2 linked regions of the Oryzias latipes genome follow. The protein of the gene in region 2 purifies or fractionates together with the protein of the main gene of each other region. This does not show direct contact. Links are inferred from orthologs where the notes say so. Each region holds a gene or a part of one and is shown on either strand. Other genes may lie near its edges. The genes, in order: cops6 and ddb2.

What was found.
Region 1: the proteins of ddb2 (region 2) and cops6 purify together in Homo sapiens (affinity purification with mass spectrometry; 8 studies listed by BioGRID and IntAct, counting the BioPlex papers as one, with this or other methods). This does not show direct contact. The link is inferred for Oryzias latipes from reciprocal best matches to the Homo sapiens genes DDB2 and COPS6.

What each region holds. Positions count from the first base shown.
Region 1 is NC_019868.2:6,644,866-6,649,289, reverse strand, and holds the start of cops6 (COP9 signalosome complex subunit 6), read left to right. Parts: upstream 1-1,511; 5' UTR 1,512-1,550; coding exon 1,551-1,593; intron 1,594-2,970; coding exon 2,971-3,096; intron 3,097-3,501; coding exon 3,502-3,633; intron 3,634-4,112; coding exon 4,113-4,201; intron 4,202-4,338; coding exon 4,339-4,401; intron 4,402-4,424. Other genes in the region: fbxl12 (F-box/LRR-repeat protein 12), read right to left, coding at 1-504, 900-975, 1,144-1,244. UniProt on the Homo sapiens protein: Component of the COP9 signalosome complex (CSN), a complex involved in various cellular and developmental processes.
Region 2 is NC_019864.2:16,130,668-16,135,238, reverse strand, and holds the start of ddb2 (DNA damage-binding protein 2), read left to right. Parts: upstream 1-1,695; 5' UTR 1,696-1,915; intron 1,916-2,006; 5' UTR 2,007-2,008; coding exon 2,009-2,144; intron 2,145-2,217; coding exon 2,218-2,330; intron 2,331-2,750; coding exon 2,751-2,942; intron 2,943-4,422; coding exon 4,423-4,571. Other genes in the region: kinesin-like protein KIF23, read right to left, coding at 121-249, 327-387, 625-638.

The sequences.
Region 1 (4,424 bases), on a different chromosome or scaffold from region 2:
TATACGAAATGTGTCGCGAAGTTCTAAACGACAAAGCCTCTCCCATGATGTCAGACTCTGCAGGTGCTGATCTGTGAAAGAGGGCACATTGTTAAGAACTAGACTCTCAATACTAATGCCTAAAGGCGAGGCCTGCCCTTTGACTTTTGGATTTTTTCCTTGCTGTGAACCACCAGCGCTGGAAGTAGCCACTGCTCTGTCCTGAGGAAAAGCAGGTGAGGAACTCTTGGCCTGACAAAAAAAGCCCTGAGGGAGCTCACAACCACGGAGCTCCAGCACACGTAGAGAAGGAGGCAAGAGGTGGCAGTTGGGTAAGGTTCTCAAGTCTGCATGTAGAAGGCATAGCTTACTCAAGCGAGGGCATTTAGTGGACAAAGCTTTGAGCCAGGACTCTGAGAGAAAGGTTCCACCCCGGGCAGAAAGCAGCAAGCCACGCAGGCGAAGGCACCTCAGTCCACAACCAAAGTACTGACGCAGCAAGACCCAAAGGATGCGAGATGTCACCTGATGTAAGAAAAAAGAAGAGACCATGTGACAATAACGAGGAGAAAACTGATTAAATAAATAATGAGATATAAGCTCAAACACATGCACATCAGAAACCTAAAAGGAGGCCTATTTTTTTTTTGGGACTTACTTTCCTAACAAAGGACAATTAACAACATTTTAAATAACGTGTCCAATTATAGTAGAAATAATAATACAAGAAAAAAAGTGCACCTTTGTCACTGTTTTTAGTGAAGGTTTAAAAAAATTGGACATAAACTAACAAAAGAAAGCCTTAGCACGGTTGTTTCAAACATCACATATTTTTTATCCATGTTTATTACTGTGTCCATTCGATTACAGAAGAATTAATATTAATACTTAATATTCAGGAACTGAAACCACAGTCCTACCCCTTTCCAAGCAGTCAGATCTACTGTTCTCCACAGTCTTTGGTCTTTAACCAGCCGTTTCCATCTCTTACAAACCCTGGAGAAAATGTGGAAACCATTAGAAACTCGCCAGACAGAAGTCTCAACAACAACAACAAAGGGAGATCATCCAGCTGGCTCTGTCTGTCTGTGCATGCTGCTGCATTGTATAGAAAGAACAGGGAACCAAAAATCCAACACATTCAGCAGGGCCACATTTTCATACCTTCCAGCTCGAACAAGCTCTCTGACGCTCAAAAACGACAACACGTCTATCAAGATGTTTTCGGGGAAGTAATCCAAATCGCAGCCTTTGAATTCATCCATTCTGTAAACAAAACCTTCCACACGGACTAATTTCCGGATGCACACGGGTTGCGCTCTAATCAGTAATCCCCAGGAAACAGCTTCTGGTTAGCAACAGTTCAGTTCATTTAACAGTTCAAAGCAACGGGCCTGGGTTTCTCTGAACATACTCAGTCTACGTCTAAGTAGTTATTTAAATTTTAAAAATGTTTATGACATCAGCTCTGCCGCGCGCCTTATTGATAAATGTTCAGAAAATATGTGATGTTGCCACCTATCGTTCGCTAGGTCAACAGTCCACTGCGCACGCGCAGTCTACCGGACAAGATGGCGACCAGCAATGGTGGAGGAATGGAGGTAGACGGGGCAGGCAAGTGTTTGTCTTAAATCAGACCGTTGGAGCCCGACGTTAACATGTACGCGCGCACCAAGGGCCCCGCGTGTTTTGTGTCTCTGCTGGTTTGTGAGCCGGAAAGATTTGGCGGCGCTAAAGCTTCTGGCTACAAAAGCTTTGCTAACATGATAAGCAGGTTAACGGTCAGTCAGTGATGAATCATTCTGGATTTACTGTCGCTTTCTCTGATCTAACTCAGTAATGCGCAGCTGAGTTTATAAATACAGTCACTTAACAATGTACCCATCCTTAAAATGCTATATAATCTAAATCCAGATTAACCGAGCGCTGTTTAAAGAAGGAAAACAACTTGATAGTTTCCCAAATGCTACTGTATTCATTCATCTAGAGTAGGGGGCTGAGACCTTTAACGGGAAACGAGCCACTTGGTCCAGATTCTTACAGATCAAAACCCAACGAGAGCCACAAAGTCTGGCCTAAACATTTAGAAAAATACACTTTTTGTTTGTTTACTTCAGTGGCTTTTTATTCATTATTGTAACAGGTAGCTTTCTTTTACATGTCGACAATAATAGAATCACAAAGGTGTTATATTTTACTAAAAAAGAGCAAGTTTAACTTCTTTACTTCAGACAGCAGCACATACACGTTCCTTTCAAAATAAAATGCACCCTAAGTCAAAAGATCCTCCTGCTTCAACAGATTTAATTTTAGGTGAGCATTCATCCTTTTACTATCAACATAAAGATGTGTGCATTGGTTTAAAATCCAAATAAAAATAAAAATCTATACATGTAAATGCAATTATATATTTTAAGAACTTTGACTCAAAGCAACAACTTGACAGTAGACTATAAGAATATTTGCTTAGTTAAACTAATTAAGTATTTGTTCAATTTTTTTGAATGTCTTTATAGCCGCATGTGGCTCTGGAGCCTCAGGTTGCAGACCCCTGCAACCTCAGATACATCAGACCGAAGCCATTTTATTCAGTCTGTGACATCTACAGGATGAAAAAGTGCTCAACCTGCTTAAGATGAGCATCTTTGTGTAAAATAAAACATGAGCAGCTGCTGATGTGTTGGACATTGTCATACATCCGATGAATTTTTTCCTTTATCAATTGATTAACTACAAAAATGACAGATAAAACTAAAAGGTAAACAGCTTAGGTTTAAAGATCAATCTTCAGGCCTGTATGAATATGTTTAGGCAGGTGTTATCCTCTCTTGAATTGTTTTAGGATTATTTTTTATTTGTAAATGTCTCATCAACACGACAGCCAATTATTTGATATGTCATACTATATCTTATTGTGAAAAATCTACGTTGTGTTCCTTGTGTCTTGTATTTCCTGTTTTGTTGAAGTTGTTGCTGTTTGTGTGTCTGCAGCCACCCCCAGTGTCATGGCCTCGGGGGTCACTGGGAGTGTTTCTGTGGCCTTACACCCTCTGGTCATCCTCAACATATCTGACCACTGGATCCGCATCCGCTCTCAGGAGGGCCGACCCATGCAGGGTATCTGTGATGAAGCTAAACTGTAGCTCCACGCGTTGACCAATCACGTTTACTGATGTCTTCTGGCTCCAACATGGTCATGTCTGTTTCACAAAAAAAAAAGGCAAATGAATTGATTTCATGTGCTTGGAGCCAGAAATAAGCCATTTTCTATGGGTGATGTCACACTAACGCACTCCAATTCTCACATACAATCAGTGGTTTTGATTGATTTGTACTTTTTTTTTCAAACAGAGACATCTTTTAGTGTTAACTAGGAACTCAGAACATGACTAAAATTCATCATCTTATCCAGTAATGTCACTATGAATGCAGTATTCTTACTTGAAGCAGCGGAGCTCTTGAACGTGTGTTTTTCAGGCATGTTTGTGTTGTTTTGGTTGATCGTGGGTTTTCCTTGTTTAGTGATCGGCGCTCTGATCGGGAAACAAGAGGGTCGAAACATAGAAGTGATGAACTCCTTTGAACTAATGTCTCACACCATAGACGACAAAGTGCACATCGATAAGGAGTACTACTACACCAAGGAGGAGCAGTGTAAGCTGGGTTTCTCAATCCGTGTTCTTTATTGAAACTCTGGACCAGCAGTCCTAAAATGTGGACTGAATGAGGCTAAAACAGTCCTGCTGGATTTAAAAGAATAAATAGTCAAAGATTCAGTTGTGAGTTTTGAAATAAACTGAATTAAATTGAAGGTTATGTCATTCCAAACGGTTAATCTCAAAATAAAACTTCATTTTTATGTTTTTTAATATTTGATTTTAATTTTTTCTAAAGCAAATTATTTACTTTTTGGGGTCAAAAATTGGCTTAATTCTTTTGTAAACAGCTAGAACCTTCTTTGTCTCTTAGATGTGAGTGAGTCCTAATTCTGAACTACAAAACAAATGTCCGATTGTTCTTTTTCTCCACATAAAGTACATAAAGTAATCTAATCACCATTTACATTTGTAAAAGTCTGTTTTTTGTTTTCTTTTGATTTTTGGCAAATAAATTGTTGAATTCTGCTGTTTCAGTTAAACAGGTCTTCAAAGACATGGAGTTCCTGGGCTGGTACACCACAGGGGGGCCCCCTGACCAGTCTGACATCCACATCCACAAACAGGTACAGAAACGCCGGCGCTTCATGCTCGACTGCAGCAAAATGTTCAGACTTAGTGATGCTGAGCTGGAAATGATCCACTTTTGGGTCGAACCTTCTCTCACCAATGCTTCTTTAAACGTTTGTCTGTTCTGTGACAGGTGTGTGAGATCATTGAGAGCCCGCTCTTTCTCAAGCTCAACCCGATGACCAAACACACCGACGTGAGTTGTTCTTCAGTCATGGA
Region 2 (4,571 bases):
TAGTGCATCCATTTGTCACAAGGAATAACATCATCAATACAAGACGAGCACTCATGAACTGAATTTCTATATATGTTAATCCTTGTAATCTAGGGCTTCTTGAATCAGAAATGTGTTTACCTCTTTGTATTCTCCATTGCGGTTTACTTTAAAGCCTTCTGGAGCATGAAGTTGGATGGTGGTGCTGCTGATGACCTCAATGCAGCATTCTTCATCTCCTCCTCCTAGAGGCCGCACGCGACAGTAGACCTTAAAAAACAAAACAAAGCACACCATGTGGCTTAAATTTTATTGGAAGAGATTTCGCTTGATTTACTGACACTTACTCCAACCGGGTCTTTCTGGTTGTTCAGAGGCTTTTTTGGCCTGCGGGGTGTCCTGAACTTCCTGTGGAGAAAACATGACATCACTATAAGCGTTAGCTTTAAAGGGGGCCCAAATAATCAACTAAGCCAAACGTTAGTCTTATGGTTAAGCAACGACGTTATGCTAAGCTAAATCAAATCCGTTATTTAGTTCGTTAACTGTCAGTTAGGCGTGGAATCAAGAAGTAACAACAAATTGCACGATATATAAATACGTTTGTAACAAATTGTCTAAGTTAAATTAATAAAATTCACTTACCCCTGTCTGTTCATTGTAGCCTACTTTCGATTCCAGTTGTTGCTCAAATTTTGAATCTTCCCGACTCAGCCTCTCGCCAGAGAACTTTTCAAATCCCACAACCGCCAATAGGATCTCAGAACAAGGAACACGAGTGTGTTGCGTCACTTCCGAGTTGACCAAATTCCAAAAATATTTTTGCAAACACGCAGCAGTCGATGTAGTCAATTACTTTTTTAAAAAATAAAAGTAAATTTATAAAAGTAAGAAAACTAATCAAATATTAGAAGGAGCGAACGTTTACCATGAAAAAAGACTGTAATTCTAGTATGCTTATGTTGCATTTTGGGTAGGTTTGTGAATTAATTTACTGATATGTACATAAAGAATGTTATTTTTGCCTGTTGCTGAAACACGACATAATACATTTTCATATGGCAGTTGTTCTCCTGTTTATGGACATGCTGCATTATGATGTTTTGCACTTTGTGTAATTTTTTTAAAGATTAGCTTTGTTGGTTGCTTGTCTTAAAGTTTTTAAATTATTCAAATTTGACTACTTTTTTAGGCATGTTGAGCTAATATGACATAACTCGGAGCCTTTCAGAAAAAAATGTTTTCAAATAAACAGGGGAATGCACCATTGCATGCTATATATGAAATCAAACGTTTGTTTAGTTCCACCTGATGCAAGTGTAGTTTATCCATCTATCTATCTATCTATCTATCTATCTATCTATCTATCTATCTATCTATCTATCTATCTATCTATCTATCTATCTATCTATCTATCTATCTATCTATCTATCTATCTATCTATCTATCTATCTATCTATCTATCTATCTATCTATCTATCTATCTATCTTAATAATACTAATAACAATTATTATTACTATTATTATTGTTGTTGTTGCATTTAATAATGGGTGATTTTTAATTTGGAAAATGCTAAAACTATATACCATTCAGAAATTCAGAATTGATAATTAACTAAAATAGGTTTAACTTAAAATCTTACATCAAATTGTCCAGTTAAAAATGCACACACACAAAAACATTTTAATTGTACTGTTGACTGATGATGTGCAAGTTTCACAGTGTGTAGCGTTTTCTTTAGTCTGTTGTATTGTATCAAGTTTTTAAATAAAGTTTCTTGAAAAAAGGGAGAATTTGTAAATAAACAGCGCCATCTATCGCGCACCAGCTGTCATGGGCTGAAGTTACAAAACATCTGCTGCCATTAGTCACGTGCGCTTCCGTGTTATGCAAACATAGACTTTAGATTAAGGCGGTTCTCTTCCACAATTACAGGTAAACTGCACATTTACGGGGTTTTCTAGAGGAAAGATAGAGAAGTACACAGAAGTGGTTTTGTTCGTGTCATATCGTCGAACTCTGACAGACATGAAAAGAAGGAAGAACACGAAACCAGGTGAAAATGGACCAAAGAGTCAAGTGAAAAAAAGAACTGAAGCAGACTCTGGAGCATCACTCTCCAAAAAATTAAAGGAAAAGATAGAAGTGAAGACCTCTGAGCCAGGTGAGCAGTACTAACGGGACTGCATGAGTTTACTCTGAGGTCATCATCCTGATTTGAATGAATTTCACTGCAGAGCGTCCACCTGTCAAGCCCCATACAGCTCAGAGGAGAAATGGCCATAACAGCATCCTGCACTACATTTACAGGAACAGTCTAGGCCAAAGTCTGCATTCTCAGATGAGACAGGTAAGTCAGTATGGACAGAAAGAGGGGGCTGTCTGCTTTAAAAATAACAATAATAAAAATGCACCAACAACAGATTTAGTCTGTCAAGTGTAATCTGGAACCCAAATGCAAATCAATGCATTGAAGTGAACAGAGACGGCAGACCAGTTGATGAACAAGGCGCCCTCTTCTCTAGGCTTCTGTCTGAAGACTTGATTGGAGAAGAAGAATTTTACTAAACAGAAAAAAATCCCTAATGCATTTTATGGATTTTACCCAATAGTAACAATCAGTTTGGTCACAAATGATAAAAAAAAAAATAGTTATAGACTTTTGTATTTATTCTTTTTAATTGGTGGTTTAAAAACAGATTCTGAATATTCTATCTGAAATGATGGAATGTTGTTGGGTTTTTTTTCTTTTTGCTGTTGCCTCTTGCAGTGTCTTCAGGAGCCCTTTGTCCGCTCTCTCTCCGCCTATCATTTCCATGGTGCTACCAGCCCCTTCGATCGCAGAATCACCTGTCTGGAGTGGCACCCCACCCATCCCACCACACTAGCAGCAGCCTCCAAAGGTGGAGACATCTTTCTCTGGGACTTTGAAAAGCCCACAAAGAAAAGCTTCATCCAAGGGGTGAGCTCCTGAAAAAGCACAGTTTTAACCAAAGAAGTTGCATAAGATTTTTTTTTCTTTCAGGATTTCAGCTTTTTGTGTGTTCGTGCTTGCAAAACGTCACACAACTCTGCACAACCATATGTTTTAGATAGACTTGACAATGCATTTTTCATTCTTCTCATTAGATTGATAGGCTTAACCACTTACAGTTTTTCTCAGTCGCTTTAGTACAATTCTCAGATCAGAATTAAAGTTTGCAAATATGTGTGTGCATTTCTCAAAACAATTTGTACAAACAGCAAAACACTATGGATTTCTTGCAAAAGCCTGTAACTTGCTCAAAATCTTTAGTTCATCTCTGAAAACTAAGTCTTTATGTCATTGAACATGTCAGTGCCATCAGAATGTCAAGTCCTTGTGTCATTGTCTACGAACAAGACAGTCAAATGACTTAGTCATGTTGTCAATATAACTGTGTACTTTAGAGGGAGGTTCTGATGTAAACTATGGCTAAAGTTTTGATGACAATTATTGTAAAACGTAAGTTACACCTTTTTTGTTTGATTGCAAGAGACTGGACAAGATTCACATTTACACTTTTATTATTCATATTGTAATTTGTTGACAGACCATGTCATACCAACATAGAAAAAACCCACTGCAAACAGTAACACAAAGGGAAAAAAAAGATAGGACAATATTCTGTACAACAGTACAGGCAGTGCAGTAGGAATTGGTGTGGTTTTCCGACACGTCTTGTCGTTCCTGTATGTTAGGCCACAAATTCTCATCCACATCACAGCGAATATCTTCGCTTGCAATGCAGCGAAATATGTTTGTCACATTATGACAACTTGGTCAACCATTTTGCAGTTAATGACTTATACGATGAACTAATGACTAGGTGTTTTGAGGAGTAAGACTATTGCACAGTGAACTATATAATACATTTTGATCAACATGACATAAACAATTGATAATGTAGCAAAGAGCAGAGAATTGTACATAATCATTTGCATGAATGTACCAAAGCAATTGCAACTTGTTCATAGAAGTGAGAAACTGCTTATATGATGTGCACAAGTGACATCATGATGTGAAGATTGAACAAATAGTTTTGGGAATTTCATTCTGATCTGAGAATTGTACTAAAGCGACTGAGAAAAACTGTAACATCCCACTCAGCTGGACAGCTCAGCTATAGGGGATACGCAGTGCTTCCACAGTCAAGTGCGACAATTCCAAGAAGTTGCTCTAGCACATATGAGTCCTCTTTGTCTAAACATGGCTGCCCAACTCTAGTACCCAAGAACTGCCATTCTATACTTGTTTTCCAGCTGTGCCTCCACTCTCTGATTGATGGACTTCAGCGCAGAGTAGTTGGATAGTTGGGAAAACGAGTTGTTGCTTCTCAGAATCGAAGTTGCTCAAGCCCTCGGTTTCAAGTCTCAGTTCAGCAGTTGTCTTATGTCGTTGCATTTCCTGCTTTTGTGCCCAGAATGGAGCCGGAGACTTCATTGGAGGGATGAAGTTCTGCCCTACAGACTCCTCCAGAGTGTATGTGGCAACCGGTGAGGGGAAACTGACCCTGCAGAGCTTTGAAGGCCACCCACCTACCCTGCTGTCCAAAACGCAAGACTGTGACCA